4 linked regions of the Arabidopsis thaliana genome follow. The protein of the gene in region 4 interacts with the protein of the main gene of each other region in a pairwise test. Each region holds a gene or a part of one and is shown on either strand. Other genes may lie near its edges. The genes, in order: AT1G68670, BHLH92, ATMYC1 and TTG1.

What was found.
Region 1: the proteins of TTG1 (region 4) and AT1G68670 interact in binary tests that used the Arabidopsis thaliana proteins (3 or more experiments, as listed by UniProt).
Region 2: the proteins of TTG1 (region 4) and BHLH92 interact in a two-hybrid assay, tested with the Arabidopsis thaliana proteins (2 studies listed by BioGRID).
Region 3: the proteins of TTG1 (region 4) and ATMYC1 interact in a two-hybrid assay, tested with the Arabidopsis thaliana proteins (2 studies listed by BioGRID).

Annotation. Positions count from the first base shown.
Region 1 is NC_003070.9:25,779,806-25,785,254, reverse strand, and holds AT1G68670 (myb-like transcription factor family protein), read right to left. Parts: upstream 3,455-5,449; 5' UTR 2,912-3,454; coding exon 2,779-2,911; intron 2,691-2,778; coding exon 2,422-2,690; intron 2,343-2,421; coding exon 2,027-2,342; intron 1,832-2,026; coding exon 1,755-1,831; intron 1,652-1,754; coding exon 1,382-1,651; 3' UTR 1,137-1,381; downstream 1-1,136. UniProt on the Arabidopsis thaliana protein: Probable transcription factor involved in phosphate homeostasis.
Region 2 is NC_003076.8:17,532,415-17,537,398, reverse strand, and holds BHLH92 (basic helix-loop-helix (bHLH) DNA-binding superfamily protein), read left to right. Parts: upstream 1-2,602; 5' UTR 2,603-2,640; coding exon 2,641-2,991; intron 2,992-3,489; coding exon 3,490-3,780; coding exon of another isoform or gene 3,781-3,792; exon of another isoform or gene 3,793-3,987; coding exon 3,988-4,089; 3' UTR 4,090-4,269; downstream 4,270-4,984. Other genes in the region: AT5G43660 (2-oxoglutarate (2OG) and Fe(II)-dependent oxygenase superfamily protein), read left to right, coding at 1-9, 82-232, 313-399, 485-609, 696-817, 894-1,062.
Region 3 is NC_003075.7:216,008-221,989, reverse strand, and holds ATMYC1 (basic helix-loop-helix (bHLH) DNA-binding superfamily protein), read left to right. Parts: upstream 1-2,208; 5' UTR 2,209-2,305; coding exon 2,306-2,454; intron 2,455-2,580; coding exon 2,581-2,868; intron 2,869-3,208; coding exon 3,209-3,305; intron 3,306-3,430; coding exon 3,431-3,445; intron 3,446-3,589; coding exon 3,590-3,646; intron 3,647-3,747; coding exon 3,748-4,236; intron 4,237-4,314; coding exon 4,315-4,725; coding exon of another isoform or gene 4,726-4,734; exon of another isoform or gene 4,735-4,756; intron 4,757-4,809; coding exon 4,810-4,870; coding exon of another isoform or gene 4,871-4,884; exon of another isoform or gene 4,885-4,948; coding exon 4,949-5,124; 3' UTR 5,125-5,178; downstream 5,179-5,982. Other genes in the region: AT4G00467 (Calcium-dependent lipid-binding (CaLB domain) family protein), read left to right, coding at 5,914-5,980. UniProt on the Arabidopsis thaliana protein: Trancsription activator, when associated with MYB75/PAP1 or MYB90/PAP2.
Region 4 is NC_003076.8:8,369,434-8,374,949, reverse strand, and holds TTG1 (Transducin/WD40 repeat-like superfamily protein), read left to right. Parts: upstream 1-2,102; 5' UTR 2,103-2,216; coding exon 2,217-3,242; 3' UTR 3,243-3,243; intron 3,244-3,769; exon of another isoform or gene 3,770-3,818; intron 3,819-3,943; 3' UTR 3,944-4,633; downstream 4,634-5,516. Other genes in the region: AT5G24510 (60S acidic ribosomal protein family), read left to right, coding at 5,084-5,152, 5,312-5,516.

The sequences.
Region 1 (5,449 bases), on a different chromosome or scaffold from region 4:
TTGTCGTAAGGCCAAGTGTCCCTTTCTTTTTTCCACCAAACCTAAAATTTTATGTTTTTTAAGTTAACCATCAAAATGGTTGGAAACAAATAAATTTATCATCTTCAACTACTTAATGCATTAATTATTTAGATTCCGATAAGAAACATGGTGGAATGGCAGAATTGAGAACCCAAAAAAAAAAGCAGAATGGAATGATAAATGATTATAATGGAAATATGAATATTTTTTACTAGTTGTACAAAACTATTGTATATTTAAAAAGTGAACAAGTTATTGAAATTCCTTATAAAATTCAAATAGTTGTAGAATCCGTATCAGTTGGAGGGAAGTCACGATTTATTGATCTCCAGCCCCTAGTCACGATTTATCCAGTTTTATTCAAAACAAAGAAACAAAATTACGTAAGAATTCGTCTTGCTTGTATAGACCCAAGATTATCCTCCCTACAAATCAAGTTAAAAAAAAAAAAAAAAAAAACCCGAAAGACCCTAGACACAATGCAAATGTCACAATTTTTATCGACCTGAAATTCTATAACATATAAAATCAAAACATAATACAAATTTAATCGTCCACTTTCCTATAATCTAGGAAGACTTATTCAACAAGGACTTAGTCAACAAGGACTTATTATAAAAATCAGAACATGACCTTTTTATTCTCCATGAACCCGATTATTAAACTGGTTTTGAATTTTCTAAAGAAATTCCGGTTCGAGTCAATTACCGTAAGATATGTGAAGGAAAAAAAAAAAGATACTATAATCTAAATTGGCCGACAAAAAATAAAAAATCTAAATTAATGATTTGATTATGGTTAGTGGTTACTATTCTATTAAGCAAGATTCAGAGGCGGCCACGTTAGATTTATTTTAATAAATTGCCATGCAAAAAGATAGATTTGGTATTCAATTCTGTGAATGGTTAGTTGGTCGATTCATGGACCTTTGTTTTAAGCAAGCGTTACCATAAATAAATCACTTCTAATTGTCACACCAAATATCTACATCACCATTCACGCACGTTATTCTCAATTCATCTTAGATTCTCTTATCTACCTTTGTATTTTACTATTTACGAAGGTGATGAATTATAACCTTTGCCATCAGATTCATCACGAAGATCTGTCTAAATTAGACACCAAAAACAAGAAGATATTTTAGTAAATATCCAAAGTTAGAAAAACAAAGAGTCTTCACTTATCTCGTGTATATACTACATAGTAGCATTCGTCTACTTTATTCAAAATTTCCAACCGAGGAAATAACATTTCTTGGTTACAAACAAAAACGGACGAAAATATTTCTTACATTCACATAAACATTTTCAAACCTACACCAAAATCAACATCAGGAGATGATTATAGTATGACTATCAGATTATGACACAGGAGTAGAAGTATTTGTATTTGTAGAGGAAGATGCCGCCGGCGAGTTGCAACTTCTCTCCAACGAACGTTTTGGAGATTGCGCCACCGCAACCGGAGCATATACACCACCCTTGTTGGCTACATCGGACGGTGGTGGAAAATCTTGTGACGATGGTACCCATATGCCTCCAACCACCACAAATTGTGGTTGTTGCTGATTCCCGGTACTTTGTGCCGCCACGGATGTTGCTGCTGGCCTTCTTGTGTGAAGTCTATATTTCTGAAATATTACACAAAAAATGGTTAAGAACTTGAGTAACATTTCATTTAATTACCAATTTCACGAACTTGTGATTATAACATAAGAATCATTAATCACTAACCTGTAAATGGCTTTTAACTTCGTCGTTTGTTAATCCATCAACCTTCATGTGATCCCTGATTTGCTTTGGTGTAGCAACTGCAAGATTGGCAAATAAAATGTCAAATAAAAATCATTTTTTAATGTTGATAATAATCTTTGTTACTTACTAATATAATGTAAATGTTGAGACGTTTTAATGTTTAAAAACAGTTCTTTATCAACCCGATTATGAATCACTAATGAACCAATCAGATAGAAGATAATCAGGTAATTAAAATTAATCGTAATTACCATGAGATCCTCCAAGCTGCTGAAGCGCGTTTAGGAATCGACGGTGTAATTCCGGCGACCAGCACCGCCTTTGTTTTCTATGCGTATGCGACTGCGATTGCTGCTGCTCTATCCGTCTTTCCTCATCTCCAGCTTTAATCAAATCACTTTTACCACCACAAGTTTCCGTCGTAGAACTCGTCGTCGTCGCTGGCATCGAACTAGCTACTTTCACCGCCGGTTGCAAATCAGTCTCCAAAACGCGCTTTTGAAACGGCTGAAACGCACCGCTTTTTGGTTTCACCTCCACCACTTTCGCTTTCTTAGCTACACGCTCCTATAATTCAATTAACACATGATTATTTCCTCATAATCGAAAACTAAAACTCCTTTAAAAAGCTCAAAACTTTAAATACCTCTTTTGGATTTAGATCCGGTGAATGATTCCATAGCTGAACAGATCTAAGCCAATCTGATTTCTTATTATTCACAAGTTCTGGAGAAGATTCATGTTCACCATCTTCTTCTTCTTCTTCTTGTACTTCTTCACACAAGGAACTAATTTTCTTGATAGGAATAAACTCTTCAAAGACAGGACCACCACAAACACTTGTGGTCTGTTCTGAACACTGTTCTGATGTAGTTGTCGTCGTACCAGATAACTCCTTCCGACAAGCTTCGATCGCTATACAGAAACAAAACATAACAAAACCCCATCAAGATTTGTAAGAGACTTGTTTAAAAATTGGAGATTTTGATTGGATTATTATTACCTTGAGTGACAAGCTCTAAACATAAAGGAAGCTCGCGTTGAAAGACTTGGATTTTCTTCTGTTCTTCTTCAAGTGCTTCAACGTATTCATGACATTTCTGCATTTTCTTAGCGTAATCCATCTCCACCATCATTATTATTCAAAAGGGACTAAGAACCAAGATCTATAGAGAGACGACAGCGAGAAAGAAGCTTAATCTCAATGGAGAAAGAATATTGGATCTTTAAAATAGAATCAAAACATAGAGAAATTGATTCCAATGTTTTGTTGATTTTTCAAGAGATAGAGAGAGAGAGAGAGAGAGAGAGGGTTTAGGTTTTTGGAACAAGAAAGAAGTGGAAGAGAATCGAGGTCGGGCCGTCGCGTACCTAAAACGAATCTTTGAGAGTTAAAATGTTTTTTTCTCTTTTGGAAGAGAAGGGTAAAATAGTAATATCGTGAAGATGATGGGTGAATATTCGGAGGATCAGATTCGATTATAGGTTCGCATCTCTTTGTATGGGCTGGAACTGACGTCACTATTCCAATCTCTTTAGCTTTTTTTTTTCAGATAAGAACGAAAACTCAACCATTTTTCTTCTCCCCTAATTAAGATTCCAGAGTTTTGTTTTCCAACGATTGTTTTATCCTTCATTTAACTTAACTATCATCTAATAGAAATGATTTTCTGTGTTTCTATATGGGCAAATCTATTCATTAAATGGAGATTTTATGATTTAGAATTTCAAATTTAAAGATTTGGTTTTTATTATGCGTCTTTTCCAAAAATCATAAAAATTGACGTTCACCTAACAAATATGCGTTTCATTAAATAAATTAAAATACTACTACTATCTCATAAGGAAAAATTATGTTTAAAACTTTCAATGACAATAAATCATATCATTAGTGATATCTTAATTCCAACTCCAAACGTTAATCATTCACAATTTATGTAACCTACCACTCGACTACGTTTTTACAGATATTTAGAACGAATATTAAAATTTGAATTGGAAATGAGCTAATTTGGTGAAGGAATATTCTAGGGGAGGAAAAAAAAAAAAAAAAATAGAAAGAAGAATCTTTTGGAAGGAAGTGTGAGAATCACATTTGCCCACGCCGCGTATTAATTATTTACATATCCGACCTTTCATATTCCTCAAGAGCCAATTTGCTAAATGTTCACGCGCATAGAGCGCGTACCCACGTGACCAAATATTCAATTGATGCAACCAGATTCTCTGCTTTTGTCATATTCATTTATCTTATTGGTTTCGTCGTTATCTTTTTAAGAAAAACAAACGGTTCTTTGGTGGTTCGATTCCTTGATAGGATGAGTTAATGCATATGAATATGATAATAGTATTTTTGTGTTTTTTAGATACAGCAAGATTTTGGACTAATTTCATTCACAATAATCACCATTAGGATCATCAAAATTTTATTTTATGGGTCTACTTATGTATGATTGATGAAACTATTTGAAGGTCGATTGAAATGATCAACTGTTTTCTTGTAGATGGAAAGTTACAACATGCTTATTGCTTTAATCATCATCATAATAGGCAAATATCAGATTCATTCCACATGTTCTTAATCAAATCTGTTTTAAGAAAAAACATCTAAATCTACACATAGAACTTTGTTGTCTCAATCTGATGGAGCTAATACATGTTTGGTCTTTATGTGGGAGGTGTGGGACATATAGATTTAAACGAGATTGGCTCCATCAATTCTTACCTTTATTATTAGCACATGATAAAATTTGTTTCCATGGGAAAAGAAAACAAACAATGTCTAAGTTGTAGTATTATGAATGTTTGAAGATGCAAGTAAGATCTCCAAGACTCCAACACATGTATTGGAGTTCTCTTCATAATAGCTATTGCATAGCCACAATTAAACAACAAAGTTAAGAGTGTCAATTAGAGCTAAAAAGAGACGGTTAATCAGTTAATGCAATAATTGTCAATTGGCAATGCACAAAAATAAAACATATGACTCTGAGTCCAAGGGAAACTACCAAGAACATGGAAGTTAAGAGTTTTTTCAATGGGAGTTTCTAAACAAAATTCTTGATATATAATAAAAATATTATATTGTTTAAATATTAGTTTGGTTTCTTAAATTTGAAGAAACTTAGTCCAATTGTTTCTTAACTAAGAGTCAATTGAACTAAGTTTCTTCAAATGTAAGAACCTCATCATTAAAATATATTATTTATCTATATTTACACTTGATTCTATTTTAAAAACTCACTAGATTTTAACCCGCGGTACACCGCAGAAATAATTTATTTTTTAAAGTTAGTATACATAAAAGTTTGCAAATTGTATCTATCTATAAAATATTTTTATTTTATAGTTTACAATTGTTATTAAATAACATCCTGCCAAACCCGTCCCGTCAACCCGTCCCGTAAAAAAACTATTTATTTTATTAATGTTGATCTTATTTATGATATGTTTATGAATTATTGTCTAAATATTTTGTAATTTTGTGGTAATTAAATGCTATCAAATATCTCTGCGGTTTGATGATTATAATTGAATTGTTATAGTCATGCCGAAAAGCAAAAATATCAAAAATGATAATTTTGTAGTAATTAAATGATATTAAATATTTTGGAAGTTTTATTTTAGTAATTAATTGTGTAGTTAAGGTAGAAAGATTTTGGGAAGATTATTAA
Region 2 (4,984 bases), 9.2 Mb from region 4:
CTTGTTGAGGTAATAGTAACAAACACATCATCTTGCCACTTATTCTCTGCCCTGCTCTTACCTCTTTGTTTGATTAATCAGGTAGAGAATATGAGAAAGTGGCTTCATGAGGCAAAATTGATGATCAGGAAACCAAACAATAAGAGTAAATATGGTGTTGTGCTTGACGACTTTGGCATGGATATCATGCTTAAGCCACTCGTGGAGGATTTTATCTTTCCTATTTGCAAAGGCAAGGCGTATATATTACTTAAAAATGCATTAGAAAGACTTTTAAAAAGTAACATTAAACTTCACTATGTTGTTTTGCAGTATTCTTCCCTCAAGTGTGTGGAACAATGTTTGACACTCAACATGGATTCGTTATTGAAAATTGTGAAGATAGGGATGCTGAATTAGGTGAGTCCCTTTTGATTTTCTGATATTACTTGAGAAAACCAGAGTGAATTCTTTAATCTGGTGCAGTGATCTTTTAAATCTGCAGGCTTTCATGTGGAAAATTCAGACATTACATTGAATGTTTGTTTGAGTAAACAAAGTGAGGGAGGGGAAATATTATTCACAGGCACACGATGCAATAAACATTTGAAAGCAGGTCCAAAGCCAGAGGTATGTGAGTCCTCTTACGTTCCTATATTCAGTAAATGGCAAAATGGTTAGCTAATAAAGGAACCAATTATTTCTCACTGAAACAGGAAATTTTTGAGTACTGTCATGAACCGGGTCAAGCTATACTTCACCTTGGCTGCCACAGCCATGGTGCAAAAGCCGCCATAACATCTTGTAGTCGGGCCAATATGATTCTTTGGTGCATAAAGTAAGCAATCATGAAGCTTGCCTCAGGATTTCAGATCACAACTAAAACACCTTTTCTTCTGCATTTCCATTTGCAGCTCTTTGTTCAGAGAGATGCAAACTTATGACAACGAATTCCGAGACTGGTGCGGTCAATGCGCCCGTGAAAAGAAAGAAAAGAAAAGCCAGAGTCTTGCTTCCAAAAGAAAGGTTAAGAAAAGAAAAAAGGACATGATTTTGCTCAAGTTTATAAGATGTTTTGTTTGAGCATGGTTATGAACCTGTGGGGGTCCTTATTGCAGGAGATGATTAGGATAATAGAGTGAAGCCGAAGCCCGCTGAAAAAAATGAAGTCTATGCTTTGAATTTTGACTCTTTACTTGGAAAATAACACTGAGTATATGTAGAATCATTTGATGTAAATAGGTCTTTGTGTCTTCGAATTTCTTACATTACTACTATGTACATGAAAGTTACCAGTTACATGTTTAGGATCGGCTATATGTTTACAGTTTACTCGCCGTATCGAAGCAGTGTTCAGTGTCAGCTGAAAAAGAGTACATATAGCCGGTCCATTCGGTTAGACTCATGAAAACCGGTTTAGTAATCATATGTTTACAGTGTCAGCTTTTTTTTTGAAATGTATGATTTGGTTAACCGGTTTTAAAATTGTGAACCAATTCAATTGTGCAATTCCGAACACTAGCGATTCGAAGTAGAGAAAGTAACATTGTACCAAGCTAAACCAACGGCGATGAATGCTAGAACCGCGATGTGATGTGTGATTAAAGAGAAGGTTAGGAGGAAGTAGAGGATGATAAATTGATTCGGAAATGTGTGAGGTTTTGTGTGACGCGTGTGGTGGCGTCGGCGATGGACTAGCGGCGCTGGTGATTGGTTGTGCGGTTTCTTTAACGCCGGAGATTACTTGATTCGCCACCATTGTTGCTCTGGATTCTAGAAACTTCTGAAAATCCTAAATTCGTTGGGAAAAGAGGAGAAAGTCAAACTGATTCATGAGAAGTTAAGAAAGCCCAAGCCCATTAAATTGAGTATCACTTAATTCGTTATTTATACTAAAAAAGATCGTTTTCTAGAATCGAAGTTGGTAGTGTAAAAGAAAAAGAAGTTGAAGAAGCAAGAATTTTCCATCGAAGTGGTCAATTATCCGAGTGTAGTAAAGATAAAATCTCTTATCAGAAAATAAAATAATCGAAGTTGGTCAATATTTTTAGTCAAGTCATTCACACGAGGAAATTTCCCACCCAAGAGTTAGGATACGTGGAAAGAAAATCTCAATGACTAATGTGTTACAATAATTAGACGAAGAATAAACTAATGCCACACACACACACGCACAAATTCCACTTGTGATGACTGATGAACTTAATTATTATTATTAAACCCTAAGGTTTGATAAAACGGTATAGGGCCGGCTCTTTTCTTTTCTCCACGGTGTTGTGTTTTTTGAACTCACAAAGGAGATTTTGTACTTTAACTTCAAAAAGAAAATTGGTTAATTTGAAAACAAACAAACAAATAGTTATAGCTTTTACGCGTCACGTAATGTCTAAATTTTGTTGCCAAGACACGTCACTTGACTTTCTCTAGAGTTCACCTTTGATACATCATTTGACTGTCTCTGGTTTTCTCCTATATACGTCACTTCATCTAACCAAGAAGCTGAGAAAACTATTCATTGACCACGTTCTCAATATGTTTCACGTGTGTTAAATCAACAAAACCACACGTGATTAAATCATAATAGGTATATAGACACACCACACAAAAGACAACATCAAAAATCACACAAATCAAGATTGTCAAACACACTAAGAGAGAAAGATGGATAACTTTTTTCTAGGTTTGAGTTGTCAAGAAGAAAACAACTTCTGGGATCTAATCGTGGCCGACATCTCGGGTGATAGAAGCGTCAGTGTACCTATCAGAAGCGCCTTTAGGTCATATATGAAGGACACGGAACTGAGGATGATGTCGCCGAAGATATCTTCTTCGAAGGTGAACGTGAAGAAGAGAATGGTCAATCTTCTGAGAAAGAATTGGGAGGAGAAGAAAAATACGGTGGCTCCAGAGAAGGAAAGAAGCCGGCGACATATGTTGAAAGAAAGGACGAGAAGAGAGAAACAAAAACAGAGTTACTTAGCTCTCCATTCTCTACTACCATTTGCCACTAAGGTACCTTGATTATTTGTGTAATATTAAACTTGAAACGAACTTTATTTTTCTTAATGACTTGGAAAGAAAATCATAGTAGTTCTAACAAAAATCCGAATTTTTACAGTTCAAAATGGCACACAAAATTAGATATTCGGTAGAAATGGATTAGATTCATGGATACTAAATTTTCAGAATTTCGACTACTATGTCTGTTCACTGATCTTTGATGTTTGTATGCTTAATTACATGCATTGATCTGGTTTTAGAAGCTTATCTTAAATATCTATAAATTTATATTGAGTAAGGTATAATATAAAGTTTTGAGTATGATAAATTTCCAACTACAATCATTTGTATAAAATGTTTGTAAGTTTTTGCACTGGAATCTTTTCTTTTATCACTATTTTCTTTTACTTAAGGATTTTGATATAGAAACAAGTTTAAAGAACATCATAGATTGATATCGAAACAAGTTTCAAGACCATCATTTCTCCTTATATTCTCATTTTATTTCAGAATGACAAAAATTCGATTGTCGAAAAAGCCGTGGATGAGATTGCGAAATTACAAAGATTAAAGAAAGAACTAGTGAGAAGAATTAAAGTGATTGAGGAAAAATCAGCAAAGGATGGTCATGATGAAATGAGTGAAACAAAGGTTAGGGTTAATCTAAAAGAACCTTTGTCTGGACTAGATTCAATGCTTGAAGCGCTTCATTATCTTAAATCAATGGGAACAAAACTGAAAACAGTCCATGCCAATTTCTCTCCTCAAGAGTTTTCTGCGACCATGACCATCGAGACTCAGGTACATATTTAATTCGATTCGAATTGGTTGAATCCGGTTTTGGTTTCTCTTTGGTTATGACAACTTGACAAGTACATAAAGGTAATAATAGGTAGGTTGTTTTGTGTTAGTAGCAAAAAAAAAGTAGATGGTTGTATGTTTTTTTAATTAAGTAGTTAGATCTGTATTAGTGTGATGATATTAAATTTAAAGTTAACTTTTTGGCAGATTAGAGGAGAGGAGGTTGAAAAGAGAGTGGAAAGAAGACTCCAGGAAACTGAATGGAAACTTCTCTTTCTCCCAGAAGCTTCCTTTTACAAAGACTACTAATTCTGTTGACTTTCTGTCATTAATTTTCTTTTGTATTTAAATTTGTATATAGTTAAATACTTAAATTAACTGGTCATTGCTTTATTGACACACATAAAGAAAAATAATGGGGCACACTACTTTTGAGTTTTGAGTTTTGAGGTTTGAAAAATAAAACTAAGAAAATAATATTGATAGAATATAATAGAAAATTTATCAAGTATATAACCATATATAGTGCCAAAATTTGCAAATTGTGTGATAGATAATTTGGTAAATATGTAATGCATTTTATCAATAAAAAATACCATAAAATTTGATTAAAACCAGCATAAAAACCTATCCCAATTAAAGTTTATTTTGAAAAATAGAAATTGGAAAGTTCAATACTTTGGCTATTATTATTTATTATTCAATACTATTTACTACGTACACTCTATAGTAAGAGTTTTTAAACATACAATGTTATTCTTCAACTTAATACGTTGCTGGAACAAGTAAACAACTCAAAACATTAAATAACTAGGAACATAGGGATTAATATATTTGTGCGTTACAATCTTAATAATTGTGAACTAGTACTATCTTATTAGCAAATACACTTGTTCACCATGTGGTTCATTATTTAATTACTTATGAAATCGCCAAAAAAGACCATAGATTTGTCATAGGAAATACAAAAATGGATAATAAACTTTCACCTACCGAGTCAAAACAAGAAGGAACTAAACAAGAAAACAGCTCCTTCAACCAAAACTTTTTGCATATTTATCAAATATTTGAAAACTTTAAATTTGGTAAAATGAATGAGGAGCAAAATAAGATAATTTAACACAGTACTCAAATCTAAACCCTCCTGGTGGAGTTAAACAGAAAGTCATCAAAATAATTATCGAAATTAAGACTTAAAAATGAG
Region 3 (5,982 bases), on a different chromosome or scaffold from region 4:
CGGCTAAGCTATTTATAATCTGTAAGATTGATACTAACGATGTAACATTAATGTATTAATCCGAAGACAGTCGTGCATTGTAGTGGCAAATGTTGTATGTCAGATGTGTCGCGTCTGTAATCAATGCGCTACGTCTCTCTGTCTTAACAAAATCATTGAAGCTTTAAATTTGAATTTCATTATTTTACAATTGCATTTCTCTCGTAAGTCGTAACTTTCATATTCATTTTTTGAAGATTTTTTAAGGATAAAATGTGAATTACTATTACCAAAAGAAACATTGTTATTTACTTTGGGACAGCTTCTAGATATGGACCCCAACAAAAAAAAAAAAAAAAAAAACTGAAACTAATACAAGTCAAGACCCAACTATAGTAACTAGGTTTGGGTGAACCATTGGGACAACAATCTTCCACAACCTTTGCGATATTGTCACGGATGGTTATGTCAATCTGCCACAAAACAATCTTAGGAGAGAACTTGAAGTGTTGTGCAATCTCTCATTTCTTTCTCTCCGAAGAAAGAAAATTGTTGCTTGTATAATGAGAATTAAAGACTTCAAGTTCTCACTCAACTTTAAATTTATCTAACTTTTCTCTTTGTCGTGGTTCATGTCGCTTCTTTTTCATCCTGAATGCAATTTGATATAGGATCCCATTGGTTAGGATTGTATATGTTTTGTAAAATTTAGGGTAATATATAGACTTTTATACTATAATTTTATTATTATATACATTTAAAAAATGTCTAGGGCATCTAAAATTAAATTAATTGTTTCTATGAAAATAGAAAATATAAACACAAACATATGGCTATAATGAGTGTGTTGTGCCAACAGAAATAATTTATAAAATTAAACACAAAGTTTTGTCGTTATGGAAATAAATGTGCATGCAACCACAAGTGGTGCGTTACTAAATTATGTAGGGCTTCGTGGATAGAGATGGATCAATTATTATTTTCACGAGTTTCTTGCCTTCATTTCAGCCAGCTCTCTCCTGATCTTGCCTTCAATTTTATTACTATTTTTTTACTGCCACTTGCTATATTTACTTACTTCGGACAAAATAGTGCTTTGATGGTAAACAAATAACGATCGGTATATGCGATGTCTCGCGATTGATTATCAAACTTGAACAGTAGTGTGTATTTGTTTAATATATAATCTATTAGAGTATCATGGAATTATTCGGGTGAAATGCGCATTTATATCTATCATAGAAACTAGAATCTTCACTATCCAAATAGTATATTCCATTTTCTTGCAACTACGTATAACTACATTCTGTTTGTCATATATTTAAGATCGAGTAACAAAAAATTAATCATCTTCATTGATGTGAGCCAGACAAAGAGTTCAATTTTTTTGGTTGTTAAAGTATGTTGATACTTGATACGTTTACCAAAACACAAAAAAACAATGTAGGTCGATACGTTCCATTTCCACACAACAAGATAGATACAAATATATAATGATTGTAAGACAATAAGACCCCGACATGTCTTAACACGAAAAAAAAAGTAACTAAGTTTATATAAACCAACACAAGTTTAACTAAGAATCTAAGAATCTCTACTTTGTTGATTTCATAAGTGTATTCATCTAAATTAGTTATAAGTACAATGTAATATCAACATGTATTTATATTGTCTCTTGTTGGATATTAACTATCCAAACCAAACCTATAATATGAAATCATCAAAACATTAATCATTATGGTCAAACTATCTCAAGTTGTATTCTTTAAAAAGTGTCACGATAAACTCTAACATCATAGTGGATTTAAGACAACACAAATCCAAAAGAGTTAAAAAGATCGGTCTTAAATTTATGATTCATATCCATGCATGATGTTGGCCAATCACCTAGTATAGTAGTAATAACCAAGCTTTTGACTAAATGAATAGGAGGAAACAAAAAAACTATATTGAATCTTTCTTTTTGCAATATTTTTCAGCATCATCACTAATTTAGAGAATATTTTACCTTGGTTTTCACCAAATAGAATCCAACACTATTACCATATGTATTGTATAAAGATAAGTCACTCCAAAAACCAAGATCATGACCCAAGTCAACCACTCTCTCTCATAATTCAGACACAGTACTCAACTTTAAAGACACTCTTTTAAGACTTTCCATCAGGACCAAGCTGAGAAAGAGAAAGCAATAAAGAAAGAAAGAAAAGGAAATAAAGCTTCAATACCAAACCCTTCTTTAATAAATTTTGCCTTTTGGTTGTCTCCTCTTTATCAATCACTTTGGTTCCATACTTTTAAATTCAGTTCTTCACGATATCTAGATATGTCTTTGACAATGGCTGATGGTGTAGAAGCTGCAGCAGGAAGAAGTAAAAGACAAAACAGCTTATTAAGAAAACAACTTGCTTTAGCTGTAAGAAGTGTTCAATGGAGCTACGCAATCTTCTGGTCGTCTTCACTTACTCAACCTGGGTAAGTATAATCTAATATTCATCATGTACCAAAATTATCAGATCTTGTTGTTCTCATCTTTGCATTTCCATTTTCTCTTCTTTTAAATCTTGGGTTACTTATGAGTACTATGTTCTACTAATTTAGGGTTTTGGAGTGGGGAGAAGGATGTTACAATGGAGATATGAAGAAGAGGAAGAAGAGTTATGAATCTCATTATAAATATGGGTTGCAAAAAAGCAAGGAGCTTCGGAAACTTTATTTGTCTATGCTTGAAGGAGACAGTGGTACTACTGTTAGTACTACTCATGATAATCTCAATGATGATGATGATAATTGTCACAGTACAAGTATGATGCTGTCACCAGATGACCTCTCTGATGAAGAGTGGTACTATTTAGTCTCCATGTCCTATGTCTTCTCTCCTTCACAATGGTTTGTTCTCTCACTCTCTCTCTCTCTTCTCCTATGAATTTGTACACTAAAATATATTAGCTCTTGTGAACTATTCATATAGAAAAACCAATTTGCAATAAAGAAGTAATGAGAAATGTCCTTTCATTTTAAGATGAAACATCCATCACTTTGGGTAAAGAGTTTAGTACCACCAAAACCATTTGGTAAATAGTGGAGTGATTATTCCTTTGGGGTTCCTTTTTGTTACACTTTCACCTTTTGCATTTTAAGTAATCCTAGATTAAGTTTTTTTTTTCTCTTTTATGATCATTAATTATTGTCATTTTGGCTTTTTTGGTTGTTTATGTATATACTTTAGTTTGCCTGGAAGAGCTTCAGCGACGGGTGAGACCATATGGCTCTGCAACGCTCAATATGCGGAGAACAAGCTCTTCTCTCGTTCTTTGTTAGCAAGAGTAAGTTCTCAGAAACTTCTAATTTCCTCTTCTTGAATCTTGATATATCAAGATCGAATCTGACTAAAAATCTCCTTTGATCTTCTTTGCTTTTCATTACTGTTCATATGGCTTCTCTCCTTTAGAGCGCATCAATTCAGGTACGTTATAATGTTTGTTATAACTGGATTCTGATTGTTAGAAATAAAAGTTTAGTTCTCTTATTGTTAGAAATGAAAGTTTAGTTATCTATATATCAATTTGGATAGAAGATTTATAGAATGTATCTGTGTTGTTATCTCCAGACTGTTGTGTGTTTCCCTTACTTGGGCGGAGTCATTGAGCTGGGCGTCACTGAATTGGTAACTCTCCATCTTAATATATAAAGTTTTACTTTTGTTGCTTGCTTCACAAGAATTAAATATACCTTACTTTGTTTAATTTTGTTCATGATCAATGAAAGATTTCAGAAGACCATAACCTGCTTCGAAACATCAAATCTTGCTTGATGGAAATATCTGCACACCAAGACAACGATGACGAGAAGAAGATGGAGATTAAGATCAGTGAAGAGAAGCATCAGCTTCCATTAGGTATTTCTGATGAAGACTTGCATTACAAAAGAACCATTTCAACAGTACTCAACTACTCCGCAGATAGATCAGGTAAGAACGATAAGAACATTCGTCATCGTCAGCCAAATATTGTTACTTCTGAACCTGGCTCAAGTTTCTTGCGGTGGAAGCAATGTGAGCAGCAAGTCTCGGGTTTTGTTCAGAAAAAAAAGTCACAGAATGTGTTGCGGAAGATATTGCATGATGTCCCTTTGATGCACACAAAGAGAATGTTCCCAAGTCAGAACTCTGGTCTGAATCAAGATGATCCTTCAGATAGAAGAAAAGAGAACGAAAAGTTCAGTGTCCTTAGAACTATGGTTCCCACTGTCAACGAGGTAATAACTCTTTTTCTAAATCCTTAGAGACAAGACTGTGTTTCAGAAGCCAACACTCTGTTTTGAATCTTTGTGCAGGTTGATAAAGAATCGATACTAAACAACACAATCAAGTACCTGCAAGAACTGGAGGCAAGAGTAGAAGAGCTAGAATCTTGTATGGGATCAGTTAATTTTGTAGAAAGACAAAGAAAGACGACAGAGAACCTTAACGACTCTGTGTTGATCGAAGAGACATCAGGGAACTACGATGATAGCACGAAGATCGATGACAATTCAGGAGAAACCGAACAAGTCACTGTTTTCAGAGATAAGACACATTTGAGAGTTAAACTCAAAGAAACAGAAGTTGTGATCGAAGTAAGATGTTCTTACAGAGACTACATAGTTGCGGACATCATGGAAACTCTGAGCAATCTTCACATGGATGCTTTCTCTGTTAGATCTCACACGCTCAATAAGTTCCTCACATTGAATCTCAAGGCCAAGGTAAATTAATCTTACTGATGTTTGGAAAAGGCAGATTTGGGTTTTCTTGACTTACACGTAACGTTTTTGGGTTTATGCATGCAGTTTCGCGGGGCTGCAGTTGCGTCCGTAGGAATGATTAAGCGAGAGCTGAGAAGAGTCATTGGTGATTTGTTTTAATGTTCTTCTTAGTAAAAATTCTTATATTTTCTTAAACTTTTGATGAAATGTTATATTTATCTAGACTTTCGTGAACCGATATGCGATGTGCCATTATCTTTACATCAAGTTTTCAGGGTTTTTGTATGTAAAGTTTGCCAAAGTTTGGTTGGAATTTTCGACAACGTTGTCTCTTCCTCTTCTACAAAACCAAGATCTATACTTATTCATAATTCATGGGCGATTTGTATCTTTCATTAATGATTGTTTTGAGCTATTATATTATTTGTATTGATAGAAAAAAATAACCAATTGGCTTTGGCTCAACTTCTTTCCCGTGAAGAGGATGGATCATATACATATCCTATTGTAATTTGAATGAACCCTATTGGGTCAAGGATCATGATCTCATGGGAAAGCTAATGAGCTTTATCCACCTCAAAGCCAATTGGTTACTAATGCTTGAACTAAATCTGTCTTATATACTAGCTAAAATTTCCATATGTTTCCGATGTGGGATTTGTTAAAGTTACTAATGCAATTTTTCTGCCGACATTATCATAATAAGTTGTACCTTAAACCTCAAGTAATTGATTTGGTCCTCATAGGCTATTAGGTTTAGTGGGCTTTTGGGCCGTATTAAACCCGTTTGATTAGAAAAGCTAGCGCTCGCCAAAAGCCCTAAACTTGTCTCGTAGCCTCAACCTCTTGATATTATGCTTCGTTTAGGTCGTCATGTGTGATTCTGTGCTTCAGTTTCTTTCTAAATCCTTAAATAAACGGATTGATATTTACTAAACGGAGGATAATGTAACTTGAAAAGGTATTTATTGAAAACTGTTGATTCTTTCTTGAATGCATAATTAATGGTGTTCTCTTGTAACTCATAGAGCCTCCAAAGAAGTAGTAAATGTTATGGTGCGTTATAAAATTTGATTGTTTCACTTGCATTATATATCTCCAATTGATGCAGCCTTCACGCTAATTACCATACACTACTTCTTAATTTCTTAAAGTCTTTTGAGTATTTGATTTTCTTGGATGTCACATATGAAGAGAGGGATATTGGAAGTATTTCTCATTGATGCTCATGGAATCACACACACAAATTTTATCGGT
Region 4 (5,516 bases):
GAATGTCTCCCGACTTCTATTAAAAAACAAAAATAACAATTACACAATCACTCGTCTTGAACAAACAGGTCTAGAAACATCATCCCGTAAGATTTCATCCGCACACCGGAGAACATAAACAAGAGCATAAAAGCTTAAAGACAAGCATAGTTTGTTAACATGTCCGTAAAATGATTAGCCTCTCTATATGTGAAACACGGTCAATCTAGTTTTTCGATAAAAAACTATAGCGCAAACGTACTGGAAATGATAGCAGATGAGAGTCCCATAACCTTGTCTTCAAAATCTCAACCACCATTTACCACAAATATGGGGATGAAAACAGGCAAACGGTCTCATACGTTGTAAATAAGCATTCTTAATGTCAAGTTGGTAGATAGGCCATAAAATAAGCATCCTTATGTTTAGCGCATAGCCTCCACACCATTCACCCTCCTCATTACGTATCAGACCACCACCAGCCGCGAGTCTCGAATTGCCATAAAATACCCCATCAGTATTTAATTTAAACCAGCCCATAGACGAGATAAGCCATTTTATCAGCTTCTCAACCCGACCAGCCCTTTGTGTTGCCTTTCCGCTACTAGCTCTCGCCTCCAATACCTCCTTAGCTAACTCTCTTATGAACCGCACCCTATTCTTCCATACTTTATTCTCCCCAAAAACTAGCTAATTGAATTACCAACATTTGATCAAGATAATATACTAGGTAGCTAATTAATGAGCTCATTTTTTTTTGTCGTCAATGGGCTAATTTATTAATTACAGTATGAACTATTGACTATTATTCTAAATAAGTGAATATCACGAGTATGTACGAATTATTGGATGTATCTATTTGTATTGATTGATGTAATATCAAATAGTATGAATTTGGAGTAAACGTGGGTTTGGGGTTGAAGCAGGTAGGGCATGTCAAAGTAGGGCGTCTTTCGTTATGTCCCTTTCCTCTAAATTTGAACCTCTGTCATTGTACAGAAAAATCGTAATAACCCATAAATGTGTTTTAAAAAACATTATTTCGAGTTTTCTACACATATTCTAGTCATGTTTAATTTGAATCTTTTCTTATTTAAGTAAGCTTTAGACATTTTTAACCTAAGTTTTCTTCTCCCTTCATAAATTTTGAGATCTATATAATGTTCTTACATTTTGGATCAAGATCTTCATATTCTCATTCCAATTAGTAAAAGATTTTTTCACCTTTTAATCTCTTATCTTTTATTTATATTCTTTAGTTATGTTTATGCTTTTCATCATATTTAGTGGTTAGTTTTTATTATTTATTTATTGATTCATGACTTATGCTAGATTATGATAAGAATTTATGTTACCACTTGATAAATCCTCCATTTGACATGTGTTTAATGCTAGATTTATATTGTCTCCAAATTTACAACTTCGATGTCTTATGATAAATGCCAACAACCAAATTTCAGATAAAGATTAGCAGACTAACTAAGCTTATTATTCACTTGCAAGGTGGAGTGATGTTGAAAGAACCCTCACAGACACGTCATTGGGAAGACTAAATCTCTTTTTAGCACGTTACACCTTTGAGATCGCGTTTATTCCATATGGAGAGAGAGCAACAATACGAGACATGGAGAGGCACCATTACCGCCGGCGCAACTGCTTCCAAATATTGACAAACAAATTTGAATCTGGATCTTCTCTATTCGTGAACAAGGAGATAGAAGCTACGATGAATGCATGGAAGCTTGGTTTGCTTTAATATAAACACTAAAGGGGAGTAGAACTTTCTTGAAAAATTGTATGCAAATTATTTACCGAATGTTAAAAGCTTTTTTCGAATAAATTTTACATTTTCTTAATAATAATAATAAAAAAGGATTGTTGATTATCTTAATCACAAACAATTTATTTTAGCTGAATTAGACAATTGTTAGTAAAATGATTAGAGTGTCACATATTAATGTTGTTAGTGTTTCATGTCATCCTAGTGATCCAATAATTAGGCCATTCTATAGCTCTTAACGTTAAAATAAAAGGCCCATTATCTGAATATACAGAAGCCCATTATCAATAGATACATTAAAAGATACTGATTAATCCAGAGGGTTTATATCTACGCCGTCTCCATTGATTATTTCTCCGTCTCTTGAAAAATCCGACTGACACTGACCTCAAAACTCTCCTCTCACTTTCGTCGTGAAGAAGCCAAATCTCGAATCGAATCAGCACCACACATTTCCATGGATAATTCAGCTCCAGATTCGTTATCCAGATCGGAAACCGCCGTCACATACGACTCACCATATCCACTCTACGCCATGGCTTTCTCTTCTCTCCGCTCATCCTCCGGTCACAGAATCGCCGTCGGAAGCTTCCTCGAAGATTACAACAACCGCATCGACATTCTCTCTTTCGATTCCGATTCAATGACCGTTAAGCCTCTCCCGAATCTCTCCTTCGAGCATCCTTATCCTCCAACAAAGCTAATGTTCAGTCCTCCTTCTCTCCGTCGTCCTTCCTCCGGAGATCTCCTCGCTTCCTCCGGCGATTTCCTCCGTCTTTGGGAAATTAACGAAGATTCATCAACCGTCGAGCCAATCTCGGTTCTCAACAACAGCAAAACGAGCGAGTTTTGTGCGCCGTTGACTTCCTTCGATTGGAACGATGTAGAGCCGAAACGTCTCGGAACTTGTAGTATTGATACGACGTGTACGATTTGGGATATTGAGAAGTCTGTTGTTGAGACTCAGCTTATAGCTCATGATAAAGAGGTTCATGACATTGCTTGGGGAGAAGCTAGGGTTTTCGCATCAGTCTCTGCTGATGGATCCGTTAGGATCTTTGATTTACGTGATAAGGAACATTCTACAATCATTTACGAGAGTCCTCAGCCTGATACGCCTTTGTTAAGACTTGCTTGGAACAAACAAGATCTTAGATATATGGCTACGATTTTGATGGATTCTAATAAGGTTGTGATTCTCGATATTCGTTCGCCGACTATGCCTGTTGCTGAGCTTGAAAGACATCAGGCTAGTGTGAATGCTATAGCTTGGGCGCCTCAGAGCTGTAAACATATTTGTTCTGGTGGTGATGATACACAGGCTCTTATTTGGGAGCTTCCTACTGTTGCTGGACCCAATGGGATTGATCCGATGTCGGTTTATTCGGCTGGTTCGGAGATTAATCAGTTGCAGTGGTCTTCTTCGCAGCCTGATTGGATTGGTATTGCTTTTGCTAACAAAATGCAGCTCCTTAGAGTTTGAGGTGAGAGTTTCTGTTTCGCTACATAATTCTCATTTGCTAGGCCTAGATTCTAATGAGGAAGCATTGATTATTGGTTTAGATTGTGTTGCATTACAGATAGTCTTCTAGGTTTGGTAACTAAACGTTTTTTCGATTCTTGATAACAAAGCCACTAGAGATTTGACACTAACTCGTTTTAGATTTACCTGAATCAATATCTCTGTTAAAATCAATTACTTTGTTATGCATACATAAATCACAGTTTAGTAGTCATATATATTGGCTCTTATTAGCGACAGGTCTCACACTTGCTGTAATGGCTGATAGTGTAGTAGTCATATGTTGGCTTTCATCTAAGTTGATGTATCATATGATGAATAGTTGTACACTCGTCAGGTTCTAATTTTTACCCATAATTCTTCAGTCTATTTTTTTTTGAGACAATCTATTCTTAATTTAACGAAGCCACTAGCTACGTATACAAATATTGTTAATTTAACGAAGTATCTGAGAATTGTTTACTGCTGACTGTGCTGTATGCCCTCAGAAACATATAGAAGTGGAATTGGAAACTTCATGCTGGTTTGAACATCTTTGTATGTGTGCTTCAGGTTTTTGTAACTCATTTAGACAACAGCATTGCATATATACACGCACATATGCAACCTAGAAAATCAAATAACCTTTCCTTATAATTACTATACATTTCACTTGATGTCAGGTGCAGATGTGAAGTGATCAATAAGGATTTTAGCATAGACCCGTATAATCGTCATGTGCGTAAGTAGGTTTGGTTTGCGCTCCCTCTCGCTTTTAGGTCCGCAATGACTCTGTATCTATCTGATTGTAACTAAAACTGAATTCATTTGATGAACCAAATGATACTATTATCTTATGTTGTGTATAAAACCCAACCAGGATATATTGCGGTTTCTGGTGTTTAGATTTGGTAATTGGAGCTTAGTACAATGCAACCCTGTCTTGCTTTATTGGACGTCTCTAAGATAAATCAGCTTGCAATGAATTCCAATGGAGTTTGTCAGTTTGAATTAACTTCTTTGCATAATTAACACAAAGATTTGCAGTATAAATTCCATTGGAAGACTTATTTGTTTATTTGACACAGATTTAAATTGAATTTCAATGGAGTTTCAGTCGACTATGTGACACAAAGATTTGAAATGAACTCCAATGGGAATTTGGTGAGTAAATTATTATAAACAATCCAATGTTTGACACAAATATTTTAGAATCTTCACATCTGAAGTCTTATAAATCGTAGCAAAATTTTCAATCTTGAAAATTATAAAAAATGAGAATTAATTTAAATCACTGATCCGATAATCTCCTCTAGAAATATAAGAATCTATAAACCATTAATAGTAGAATTCCAAAATGTTATAAATCTATATACTATAAATGAAAATTTTACTTTTTAACTTTTGTCTCCATAATATCATACCATACTTAAAATTTTATTTATTTTATTCTAATAATCACAATGTGTTTCTTTGTATATAAATAGAGTTTTTCTAATGGTTTGAGAAGTGATTTGGAAAACATGGATACTCATATTTTTTTCAATTTATAAGATGATCAAAATAGAAAATTTAGCTTATGAAATCTTTTAGATTTAGGAACAAATGTATACTCTAAAATGTAACTATTTGACATGTGTCAAAATGTTTTTAAATTTGTTGTGATCTTGTTACAATTAAGATCAAGCTACTTGTCAGATTTTATGTGATGGGTTAAATTTTACAAAATTCTAGCCCAAATATAAAATACCTACGTCCTCAAAACTTAAAATGCAAGCGATAATAATACAACTTAGAGTACAAAGAGGTTAAAGGTAGATAGAATGTCGACCAGTGAGCTCGCCTGCACTTATGCTGCTCTCATCCTCCACGATGATGGAATCGAGATCACCGTTAGTTTTCTTCTCTTCTCTCTTTCTTCAAATTTGTTTTCTAGCTATTGAGACACTGTTTAGCCTATGTTTTAGTCTCTAGAATCGTCATCTCTCTTTTCTTGCCTTGTGGTTTCAAACTGATCTCACTTAAGTGTTGTAATAATGTAAAATTATTAGGCTGAGAACATATCAAAACTGGTGAAAACAGCCAACGTGAATGTCGAGTCATACTGGCCTAGCCTCTTTGCTAAGCTATGTGAGAAGAAGAACATCGACGATCTCATCATGAATGTAGGAGCCGGTGGTTGTGGTGTGGCTCGTCCAGTTACCACTGCTGCTCCTACCGCTTCTCAATCAGTCTCTATTCCCGAGGAGAAGAAGA